Ovis aries: one gene and its partners. The main gene of each other region encodes a partner of the protein of the gene in region 3 in a complex. Links are inferred from orthologs where the notes say so. Each region holds a gene or a part of one and is shown on either strand. Other genes may lie near its edges. The genes, in order: CALR, CALR3 and CELF1.

Region 1 (3,747 bases), on a different chromosome or scaffold from region 3:
TAGATGTTGCTATCAGGGGAATACTCAGGGTTGTCAATCTCTGGATGGATCCAAACGCCCTTGTACTCTGGGTTGTCGATCTGCCTGGGCTTCCACTCCCCCTGCAGAAGTAAACTGACGGGTGAGCGAAGATCACTGCCTTCCCCATTGTGCACCACCCTCCTCAGAGTGCCAGACTCACCTTGTACTCTGGGTTCTGAATAACAGGTGGTTCCCACTCTCCGTCCATCTCTTCATCCCAGTCCTCAGGTTTCTTAGCATCAGGGTCAGGAATGTGCTCAGGCTTGTCCCAATCCTGAGGATACATTAGGAGGTCAGAATAGGAGCAGCTGTCCTCCACACGCTCCATGGTGGGGAGCCCCTGCCCAAGCACCAACCTCAGGCTTGGAGTCTGTGGGGTCATCGATCTTGGCACGATCATCCCAGTCTTCAGGCTTAGCGGCATCAGGATCCTTTATCTTCTTGGGGGGCAAGAAATCCCAGTCGTCCTCCAAGGAGCCTGACTCCACCTGGCTGTTATCAATCTTCACCTCATACGTATTATCAGGCCGCACAATCAGCGTGTACAGGTGGGTGAATTCATCGTCCTAAAGAGAATGAAAGATGAGTGGCCCCGCCCACCAGCCTGGGCTCAAAGCCTCCCCTCACAGCCATTTGTGACCACCCCCAAGGCACACCTTGCAGCGAATATCCTTGTTGATCAGCACATTCTTGCCCTTGTAGTTGAAGATGACATGAACCTTCTTGGTGCCGGGTCCACAGATGTCTGGGCCTTGGTGAGAAGCAGATCTTGGTCAGAACTACAGTCTGTCCACCATTACAAGCCCCTGCCCACCCCATTACAAAAAGACAACTTGGTTCTTAAACTCAGGACTGTCAAGCTGAAAAAACAAAATTCAGACCTTCTCTCTAAGGAACTGGGGGAGGACACTTAAAAAAAAACAAACCACACATCAGTACTCCAGAACTCACAATCTTCACTTGCACAACTAGGAACAAGGAAATGCCTATATAGTAAAACTGCACGAATTAGTGTGAAGTCGATGATAAAAATGCAGTAAGTGGTTCCTAACTATTCCCTCACCTTCCCTATGAAAGAAATGCCTAAAGCATGTAAGTGTTTTCTATGCTCTCAAGACCACCGTTCATGGGCGATAAAGAACTCCCCGGGTTTCAAACTCCCTCTAAGTGACCAGAAATCAGCACCAGGGTGGAGTCCCCTTACCAAACATGATGTTGTATTCGGAGTCCCCGTGCATGTCTGTCTGATCCAAACCAGCTGGAAACAGCTTCACATAGCCGCCCCCACAGTCGATGTTCTGCTCGTGTTTCACCGTGAACTGCACCACCAGCGTCTGACCCTTGTTGCTGAAAGGCTCAAATCTCGCCGACAGTGCGTAGAACCGGGCATCCTGGCTAGTCTGCAGGCCTACCGAGAGACTATAATCAGATCAGGGCTCAGCACCAACCCCCCGGGGAACCCTAAGGATGTAAAATACACACCAGTCCTCCTTCCTTCACCTCCCCTACTTCTAGGGATACCCAAACTCTGTCCTCCTGGATCTGAATACCCACTCCTAAGTTCTTACCTTTATCTTTCTCCTGGTCACCATAGAACTTGCCGGAACTGAGAACGAATTTGCCAAAATCCGGTTTGTGTTTGGATTCGATCCAGCGCTCGGTCCACCCGTCTAGAGGATCAAAGAGGCAGGTAAGCGCGGCGGTGCTGATCAACTCCCCACCAAACATCTACCAGGAGCCACAAACTGCTGGGAGCAAGGAAGGAGATTCCCCCCTCCCCCCAGACCGTCCCCACCCCAACCTCTAGTTTGACATCTCTGGTGACTTAAAAGATCCTCGGGCAAACCCTAACTCCCGCTTCGGAAAGCCGCTGCTCCCTCCACGCTCCCCAGGGACGCCGAAGGAAGGCTCGCCTTCGGCTCCAGTCCCTGAAGGAAACCGTGTTGGCCCTCTGAGCAGTAATTACAAGCGACACGCAGATATGGGCCGGAGGGCCAGCCGCGTCGTTAGGACGATCTCGAGCGGGACTAGCCGTTACCTCCGTCCAGAAACTGCTCCTTGAAGTAAACGGTGGGATCAGCGGCGGCCAGGCCGAGAAGGCCGAGCAGCAGCGGCACGGGTAGCAGCATGGCGGGCCGAGGGGGCGGTGGCGCGCGGGCCCTTTAAGTCACTCGTCCGGCAGCAGCTCTGCAGTGGGGACGGACGCCGCCGCCGGCCGTGCCCTTTTATACCCCGCCTGCTCTCAAACCAGCCTGGTCCGGCCTCTTGGTCCGCCTTCCTCACTTTATCATTGGTCTGTGGCCATAGCCCTGCCTTTCCATTGGACCCTTCTAGGCTCAGCATGTTAGGCTGTGCCTCGGAACGCTGGGTTCCCAGATGGCCGATTTCTATTGGCCGCACCACTGGCCAATGAAGGTCGACCACGCGTTGTGGGGGACGCCCACCGGTGAAGTCGGGGGGGCCTCGAGCCCCTCAGTCCAGGTCATGTGACCAGACCTCGGCCCAGCCCCGCCCTCCCTTGCGCGCGGCGTTCGGGATCTAGGCGTTTAAAGAACACGCGCGAGCTGTGGTGCTGCGTGAAGCTAGGGTCCGGCTCCATTCTAGACTCCACTCAAGGGTTGAGTGGGCAAGGTTTTCCTAGCGTCTTTCTACTCTGAGTTTGGGGAACCCCACCATTCCCACCTTGTCTTTCTCTTCCTTCCCACTCCTCTTCCCGTCCTCCACCCGCCTCCCTGCCCCCCCCCCCCCCCCCCCCCCCCGCCTTCCTCCCCAACCCCGCCTTCTCCCTCCCACACCTCCCTCCCCCGGGATGGGGCAGAGGGCACCGAGCCCTGGGGCTTCACTTCCTCCCAGCGCCGGAGCCCTGCAGGCCTGGGGGAAGAGTGCCTGTTCTCAGTACGGTCCCCGTAGTGACCTGGCAGCCTGTCAGACTGCTTCTGTGTGAGCTGGGGCAAGTCATTCAGCCTCTTTGAAATCACAGGATCTCTTGAAAGGCCAGGAGGAGCGACCCCGGCCAGCTGCTGTCCGGCGGAAATGCTTTTCAAGCTTTTAGGGATTTTCTGGGACAGAGGGAAGGACCCTGACGGCTCAAAAGATGTGACGACAGGTTGTGTTCCTCTCTTTGCAGCCTGTCCTTTACCTCCCTCCCATCCCCGCCCCCCAGCCGGTAAATGAAAGGGGTCGCCGCCTTGTGGTCTCCCGCAAACGGCCTGGTTTTGCAATTAAACGGCTGAATATGAGCGGGCAGGGGGTTCCGTTGGGGAGGAGAAAAAAAAAGAGGCAGATGGTGAGGAAGATAAGGTCCAAGAGAGGTGGGCAGGACCCCTGAGACTAGAGCCTTCTGAGGCCACAGGCACATGACTGGCAGTGACTGACACCAGCCCCATACCCCTAGGCTGCAGGAAGGAGGAAGGAGAACGGGGACTTTCCCAAACTGAGCAAATAGGCTCTGGACTTGGGAAGTAGGAATAAACTGGCGAAGGCGGGGGGTGGGGGGTTGGGGTGGTGGGGGGAGCGGATTCTGGCAAAAGAGTGGGGAGGGTGTACTTCCCCTCCAGTGGTGGGGACTGGGAAAGGGAGGTGTGACGAGTTTTGACGAAGTTGGGGTTCTACTTCTCCAAAACAGTATGGCGTATAACCTAAAGTGTTCCTCAGTGATGAAGCCCACACCCACCAACTCTGGGATGACCACGCTAGGCTTTGCATTGATATTCCTCCCACCTTCCC
Region 2 (3,709 bases), on a different chromosome or scaffold from region 3:
GTTAGAATCGGACATGGAACAACGGAGTGGTTCCAAATTGGGAAAGGAGTATGTCAAGGCTGTGTATTGTCGCCCTGCTTATTTAACTTCTATGCAGAGTACATCATGAAACACTGGGCTGGATGAAGCACAAGCTGGAATCAAGATTGCCGGGAGAAATATCAATAACCTGAGATACGCAGATGACACCACCCTTATGGCAGAAAGTGAAGAGGAACTAAAGAGCCTCTTGATGAAAGTGAAAGAGGAGAGTGAAAAAGTTGGCTTAAAGCTCAACTTCAGAAAACTAAGATCATAACATCTGGTCCCATCACTTCATGGTAAATCGATGGGGAAACAGTGGAAACAGTAAGAGACTTTATTTTGGGGGCTCCAAAATCACTGCAGATGGTGACTGCAATCAAGAAATTAAAAGACGCATACTCCATGGAAGAAAAGCTGTGACCAAACTAGACAGCGTATTAAAAAGCAGAGATGGTATTTTGCCAACAAAGGTCCATCTAGTCAAGGCTATGGTTTTTCCATTAGTCACGTATGGATGTGAGAGTTGGACTACAAAGAAAGCTGAGCACTGAAGAATAGATGCTTTTGAGCTGTGGTGTTGGAGAAGACTTTTGAAAGTCCCTTGGACTGCAAGAAGGTCCAACCAGTCCATCCTAAAGGAGATCAGTCCTGAGTATTCACTGAAAGGACTGATTTGAAGCTGAAACTCCAATACTTTGGCCACCTGATGCAAAAAACTGACTCATTTGAAAAGACCCTGATGCTGGGAAAGACTGAGGGCAGGAGGACTTGAAGAGGACAACAGAGAATGAGATGGTTGGATGGCATCATTAACTCGATGGACATGAGTTTGAGCAAGCTCCGGGAGTTGGTGATGGACAGCGAAGCCTGGAGTCCACAGGGTCCCAAAGAAGTGGACAAGACTGAGCCACTGAACTGAACTGAAGGCCATCTGACTCACCCCACTCCTCAGCCATCACCATCACCTCTCAGCACCTCTCTTCTCTGTCTAGTTAAATTCTGTGGATTTTTCCATCCGTGACTTCTATGTCATGATCCTGGGGGGCCACCATGAGGGGTGGAATTAACCAGTATACTGAGTGTCTTGCCTGTATCTGCTCTCAGTAGACACGTGCTGGAGTGAATGAAATGCAGAGTCTAGAGTCCCAGCATTTCTGGCTGGAGGAAGGAAAAATATTGTGGCGGAAAAAAACAAATGACAGCTCCACTCCTTAGACAAGCTTCATAGAACTTGTTATTTTCAACTCCATTTTTTCCACTACAGCCTGACAATTTGGAGCACCATGTATCTATGAAACAATGCAAGTACATTTCAAAACCAGAGGTTGCCTTGGTGTAACAGGGCCAAGATGGAAGATGAATGGAACGTCAACGAAAGGTGGTGAAGAGGGGAACTTTTCATTTAAATCAGGGGTTGGTAAACTTTTTTCTGTTAAAGCCAGGGAATAAACATTTTACACTTTTGAGAGTCTGAACTACTCAATTCTGCCTTGAGAATTGTGATCTGAAAGCAGGCACAGATTGTATGCAAATAAGTAAGCATGGCTGTGTTCCACTAACCCTTTATTTATGGACTGTGAAATTTCAGACACTGCATGGAGTGCTTCGTATAACTTTAATGCATCACAAAATACTATTTCCCTTTCTTTTTTCTCCAACAACTAAACAATGAAGAGGGGACTCTCTGGTGGTCCGGCGGTTAAGAACTGGCCTTGTAATGTAGGAGACAGAGGTTCAGGCTCTGTTCTGGGAACCAAGATCGCACATACTAAGCACCTAAGCCAGGGTGACACAGCTAGAGAGCTCGTGCATGGCAAGGAAAATATCTCACCACAGAACGGAAATTCCCGCATGCTGTGACTGAGCCTTGAGGTAGATAAAAAAAAAATTTAGAAATCTAACTGAGTGTATAAATAAACAGGCAGTAGTTTATCTACTTTTAATTATTAGGAATGAGAAGCCAGAATGGAGGTTATTCTTGGTACCAGAAGGGTACTGACTTGGGGCCGGGTGGGGGCGGGGGACTTGCCTCTAGGGGTGGAAGTGGGGCCTGAAAGTTCCTATCTTGATCTGGGTGTCCAGTCACAAACTATATTCATTCTATTGGACCCCCTAAGATCCATCCACTTGACAGCATATAACTTTTACCTTTTTTTTTTTTTTAACTTGAAAATAAAAATGAGAAGTATCTTCTAATCTTTTCCTTCTGGAGCCTAAGGCCCTCCCGTCTCCAAACCCATATGACTAGCGCTTGTAAAAAGGCATCATCTTGGTCTCTTCTAAAGAGAGAAAAGACAAAACAACCCTACCCAGGCCTGTTTCCCGAATTGTGAAATGGGTGTTGGGGTGTGCCACACCTACCTTGAAACTTAATTTCACGTTTCCTACACTAACCTTTATCTTTCTCTTTATGACCATAAAAATTCCCGGACGAAAGTCTAAAATGCCCAAATTGGGAGTCATTAGTGGAAGGTACCCATCGGTTCCGCCAGCGCTCTGTAAGGGGTAAATAACACAAGTTAGGGCTGAAAATTGTTAATGCGTGTCGTGGGGAGAATGATGGGGACGCCCGAGGCTTCGAAGCTTCAGGGTTTTGATACCACCGATCCTTCGTCTAAAGGCCGGGTCCAAATGGCAACTCAGGCCATCCAATGGGCAACGGGGTATGCGGGAGCTTACACCCCCGCCACCATCGGCGTCGCCTCTTCACCTCCATCTAGAAATTCCTCCTGGAAGTAGACGGTGGCCAGCGCCACCCGCAGCACACAAACTGCCCAGAGCGGGACGCGAGCCGCGGCCATGGATCGTGCGGCACCACTTCTTCTCTTAACCGCCCCTTTGCGCGTCCGGCGGTCTCCGCGGCCCGCCAGGCCCGCCCCGGAACTACAGCTCCCGTCACGCCTCGCGATTATGACCCGAGAGTCCACTGGGCTCTGACGCGCGGTGCACACCAGGCCCGCCCCCAAAACTACCACTCCCATGAAGCCTTGCGATTATGACCTGAGGCTCTATTGGTTCTCAGGGCGCGGGGTGACCCGGGAGATGTAGTCTCTTTTACCCTAGCGCTTTTGCCGAGGGCAACGGTCCCCTCTGGCAGGAGTGTTCCACCGTGAGCGGCGGCAGCCTCCGCGGAAGGACTTCGCGGGAGGAGGTTGGCGGGGTTGGCTGGGCGGTGGCCAGACTTGATGCTTGGGCTCGGGAGAGGAATTGAGGGAAACGGGGCGCCCTCCGGAGCTGAGTAGGTCGGGCAGCGGGAGGGCGGTTCAGGGGCCTCAAGCCTCCGTTTCCCTGTCTGAGGCGCACTGGAGAAGATGGTCCGATGTGGGTCGCTCCAGGCCTTGGGGAACAACCCGCTGGTCTGAAGGGCGCCCCAATTTTCAAAATTTGGTTTATCTTTTAACAGCTTTATTGATAACTCATCTACATACGGTACAGTTCACCCCCATTAAGCTTACAATTCACGTTATTTTACTAAAAATTTACCAAATGGTGCAAGCATCACCACCATCCAGCTTTCGAACTTGTAGGTCACCCGAAGTGTATCTCTCCATCCCCGCTAACACCCGCAGTCGCAGGCAACCACCGATGGGCTTTGTGAGTTTGTGGATTTGCCTTTTCTGGACAGTCCTTGTAACTGGAATAATAGGCTGTGTGGTTTTTTGCATCATCTGGTATTTTCACTTAG
Region 3 (3,647 bases):
ACTTCCTGTAGTGTCACTCCACAGCACACACAGACACTGGATCATCATGCTGCACAGCTGCAACTGACATATCATGCGCCACTATACCTCCACAGAAGGGCAATCAGCGCACGAGGCAACCCAAATGCCTGAGGGCAGCAAACACACCCGCAGGAACCGCGTACGGGGAGGACTCCCGCACGTGCTCGCTTACCGTTGTTCTTCTCGCTGTCGGCAGGCTTCATCTGTATCGGATGATGCATCTAAAACGGAAGACACCTGACTATTAGCATTACACACACTGAAGGCATTCGGAAACACAGATGAGGACTCTCAGGGAAATACCAAAACCGAGCTTTAAGAGGTGTCTCTGGGGACCTCCCTGGTGATCCAGTGGCTAAGAATCCACCTTGCAATGCAGGGGACGTGGGTTCAACTGCTGATCAGGGAACTAAGATCCCACATGCCCTGGAGCAACTAACCCCATGCGCCACAACTAGGGTCCGTACGCTGCAATGACGCAACCAACCGAGACCCGACGCACCAAAGAAAGGAAGAACTGTCTCTGAACTCACGCCTGCCTCATTATCTCTCCTCAGCAGAACCTCAAAATAGAATGTGAGTCAACAAGTCAAAATTCTCTCGGCTGAGAATCACTTTCAATCTATCTTCTTTGAAACATTCCCTTTATTCCTCCTTTGCATCAGTTGCTGTGGCAGTCACCCCGTTCCCCCCATAAGTGTGCTCCACACGTCAAAGCCACCGCGGTTCCACTTACTAGTAGAAGTTTCTTACCCCTGGGAGGACCTTCATGTTGTGAAGAGCGTTCTGAGCTTCTAATGCAGCTTTTCGGGTGTAAAATGTAACAAAACAGCACCCTGCAATAAACAATACTTAATGAAATCAAACCAGTCCTTTGAAAGGAGATAATTTACGAGAGCACTCCCTCCTCCAGGGATACATTGAAAGTCAAAAGCCAGGGCTGGGTTTATTCAAATGGGTGGGTGGGTGGGTGGCGAGAGGGGAGGGAGGGAGATGGAGAAAATCTAACAAGGAAGAGAAAAAAAAAAAAAGATTTTCTACCATTTTCTTTATTGCTATCGTCACCTGGTTGTCTTCTTCTTTAGCTGCTCCTGTAACTTCGCTGGCAAGATGGCTGTCCTTACAAAGGTCACAGAACCACGCCATTCAGCCCGCCCTCCACTGCCCAGGCAGTGCGCTGGGCACAAAGACTCAGCCTCGCCCTCTTACAGCCTGTGGTCTACAACTCCTCCTTTCTCAGAACAGGCCTTACACTGCAGCCAGCTTCTACCATATGCCTTAACATAATCATCACTTATTAAATTATAAAATGACTTAAGCGCAAGGCTCTCTTAGTATCTATTTCTTGGACTCTTGGGTCTCATCAAATATAATTACATGTCCAACAGCACTTGACTGAGGAGACCTTGGGACTCTGTGCTCTGTGTTTTTACTGGGGATGGGAGGGCATAAGTATGTTTTGTAAATCTTAGGCCCGCAGTCCCATAAGATATGATATAGATTTCTTTTAAAATCACCCTGCAATTAAGATTTTAAATTACTGTATATTACACTGACAGTCATTTTCGGAAACTATAATACCTTTTACTTTTGGCTAACTACGCCACAAAGAAAAAATAATTCCTCAGCTCTAGACCCTTCGCTATTAAGCTGGTTTAAGCACGACAATCACGCCTGCTTACCTCTGTACTATAGGACAGCTTCCATAGAAAATCACTCTGAAATGGGTTATCTGGGAAAACAAGTGTATATCTGCATGTGTCTAGGGGCAAAGCTAACACCTGATCTACTATCAGTCCTATAAACCCTCTCCTCTGCTGGGTATTTCCAGAGGCAGCTTGCCTTCCTTCCCCTGTTCATTTTGTAGGCTATAACAACCAGGTGATCTATAAACAAGCCCCTCCTAGTTGCTAAGCCATCCCAGAAGGCCTCTGTAACACCAACAAAAGCCCACGAGTACCTGGACAGTCTTCCCCTTTTCACTTACCCTAGCTAAAATACTAAAAACCCCCTACGTGGTGGGTTTACTTCAACTTTATTTCTGTCATTCCATTACCAAGGTCAAATGAGACACTCACAGGAGTCTGTCTCTTGACTTTACAGATCTTGAAAATGACTGCCCAAGATCCAACTTACAAATTATCCTCATGATGTCACTCATGAGGATTTTCTTTTATTTTTAAGCCATTAAACGAGTTTGCACTGGGAGATATAGCTGCAACAAAAAGACAGTCAGATCCCCCCGCCATGACCACAAGTGCATTCTGGCAACGAGACAGAGCATGCGCGTGACTGCAAATACACATAAACCCAAGGCCCTTCCTTACCTTTGCTCTGTGGAGGGTTTTGGCTCCTATCCCTTAGGACATTGATTTCATAGACAGCACCATACTGTTCAAACAGTTCCCTCAAGTCCTTCTCAGACCAGGTCCTTGGAACCTGGCCCACAAACATCTTGATGGCATCAAGATCCGGTTGATCTGGGTGGTCCAGGGTGCCGTTCATTTTCTTTGAGCTGCATAAAACGGATTTCTATTATGTATCCATGTTGTTTCTAAGAGAAAGTTCCTTTCTTTAAAAGTCTCAACTACTTCCTGAAGAAGTAAGGGGGAAAAGCCTACTTCTTTTCACTACTTACATTCAATCTACCAGGGCCCCCAGCCGCCCCGCACTATGCCACCCCTTCCATCTGACCCCAGACTAAAGGCACCACTCTGATTAGGGTGCCCTGGGCTTTAACGCATGAAACGAACGCCAGTCATTCCTTGTCTAGCTAGAGAAGTCTCAGAACTTAAGAGGTAAAGTTCCTAAAGAAAGCTTTAATCATTTTTAAGTAGAGCTAATAAAATTTTATAAAATGTCCACAAAATCACAAAAGACTACTGCTTATGGGTAGGATTCAGGATTCTCAATCTACACAATGATGGGTGAAAAGTTTTCTCTCAGTAGATGTCAGAACAGAAGCACAGGACTTCCAAGGCCTAAGAACTGACTAGAACATTAATCTTTGGGTGTTGCTGTCTCATGCATAATCCTGGTACTCTTGAGTGAGGCCCTCCAATCAAAACAAAATAAAACCTCTTAAACTTTTACAAACGATTGTTATATAAACAACGATGTCATCATTCTAGGGTCTTCTGTTTCTAAGTAATCCGATTTGCTGCTATTTCTCCAAGATTTTACCAGTTAATTCCCTTACCAACTCTAACTGTTATAATGTCCACAAATTCCTCGAATCTGATCACACCAAACCTGTAACACTCCTGTTTAAATGCCTTCACTCCTACCCCTGCCACTGTCAAGAACCATGGGGGAAACGCTTACACTATTAAATGTTTCCATTCAGAATGAATCAAAGTGCTTCTCCTACCACCTTTTCACAATCTTATTCTGAGCATTTATCCAAACTAGTAACACCTGACATTCCAAATAGTTAGCATGGTTAACTTTTGTCAGTGTTTGATAAATCCAGAAATTACATCACCATGTTCGAATGTGTCTTTCTTTCTTTCATGCATTCTTTCTAATGTTCAACCTCAAATAAAACACCACTTTTCTTTAAAAGAAAAACAGTTTTGTCACCAGTTTTGTCACCAGGAGAAGGCAATGGCACCCCACTCCAGTAC

What was found.
Region 1: CELF1 (region 3) and CALR share a complex: the UniProt entries of both Homo sapiens proteins name them as parts of the EIF2 complex. The link is inferred for Ovis aries from reciprocal best matches to the Homo sapiens genes CELF1 and CALR.
Region 2: CELF1 (region 3) and CALR3 share a complex: the UniProt entries of both Homo sapiens proteins name them as parts of the EIF2 complex. The link is inferred for Ovis aries from reciprocal best matches to the Homo sapiens genes CELF1 and CALR3.

Annotation. Positions count from the first base shown.
Region 1 is NC_056058.1:10,924,170-10,927,916, forward strand, and holds the start of CALR (calreticulin), read right to left. Parts: upstream 2,222-3,747; 5' UTR 2,151-2,221; coding exon 2,060-2,150; intron 1,692-2,059; coding exon 1,590-1,691; intron 1,430-1,589; coding exon 1,226-1,429; intron 773-1,225; coding exon 678-772; intron 588-677; coding exon 378-587; intron 296-377; coding exon 182-295; intron 102-181; coding exon 1-101. UniProt on the Homo sapiens protein: Calcium-binding chaperone that promotes folding, oligomeric assembly and quality control in the endoplasmic reticulum (ER) via the calreticulin/calnexin cycle.
Region 2 is NC_056058.1:6,298,143-6,301,851, reverse strand, and holds the start of CALR3 (calreticulin-3), read right to left. Parts: upstream 2,904-3,709; 5' UTR 2,826-2,903; coding exon 2,735-2,825; intron 2,521-2,734; coding exon 2,419-2,520; intron 1-2,418. UniProt on the Homo sapiens protein: During spermatogenesis, may act as a lectin-independent chaperone for specific client proteins such as ADAM3. Required for sperm fertility. CALR3 capacity for calcium-binding may be absent or much lower than that of CALR.
Region 3 is NC_056068.1:76,232,824-76,236,470, forward strand, and holds part of CELF1 (CUGBP Elav-like family member 1), read right to left. Parts: intron 2,537-3,647; coding exon 2,349-2,536; intron 858-2,348; coding exon 775-857; intron 243-774; coding exon 194-242; intron 1-193. UniProt on the Homo sapiens protein: RNA-binding protein implicated in the regulation of several post-transcriptional events. Involved in pre-mRNA alternative splicing, mRNA translation and stability.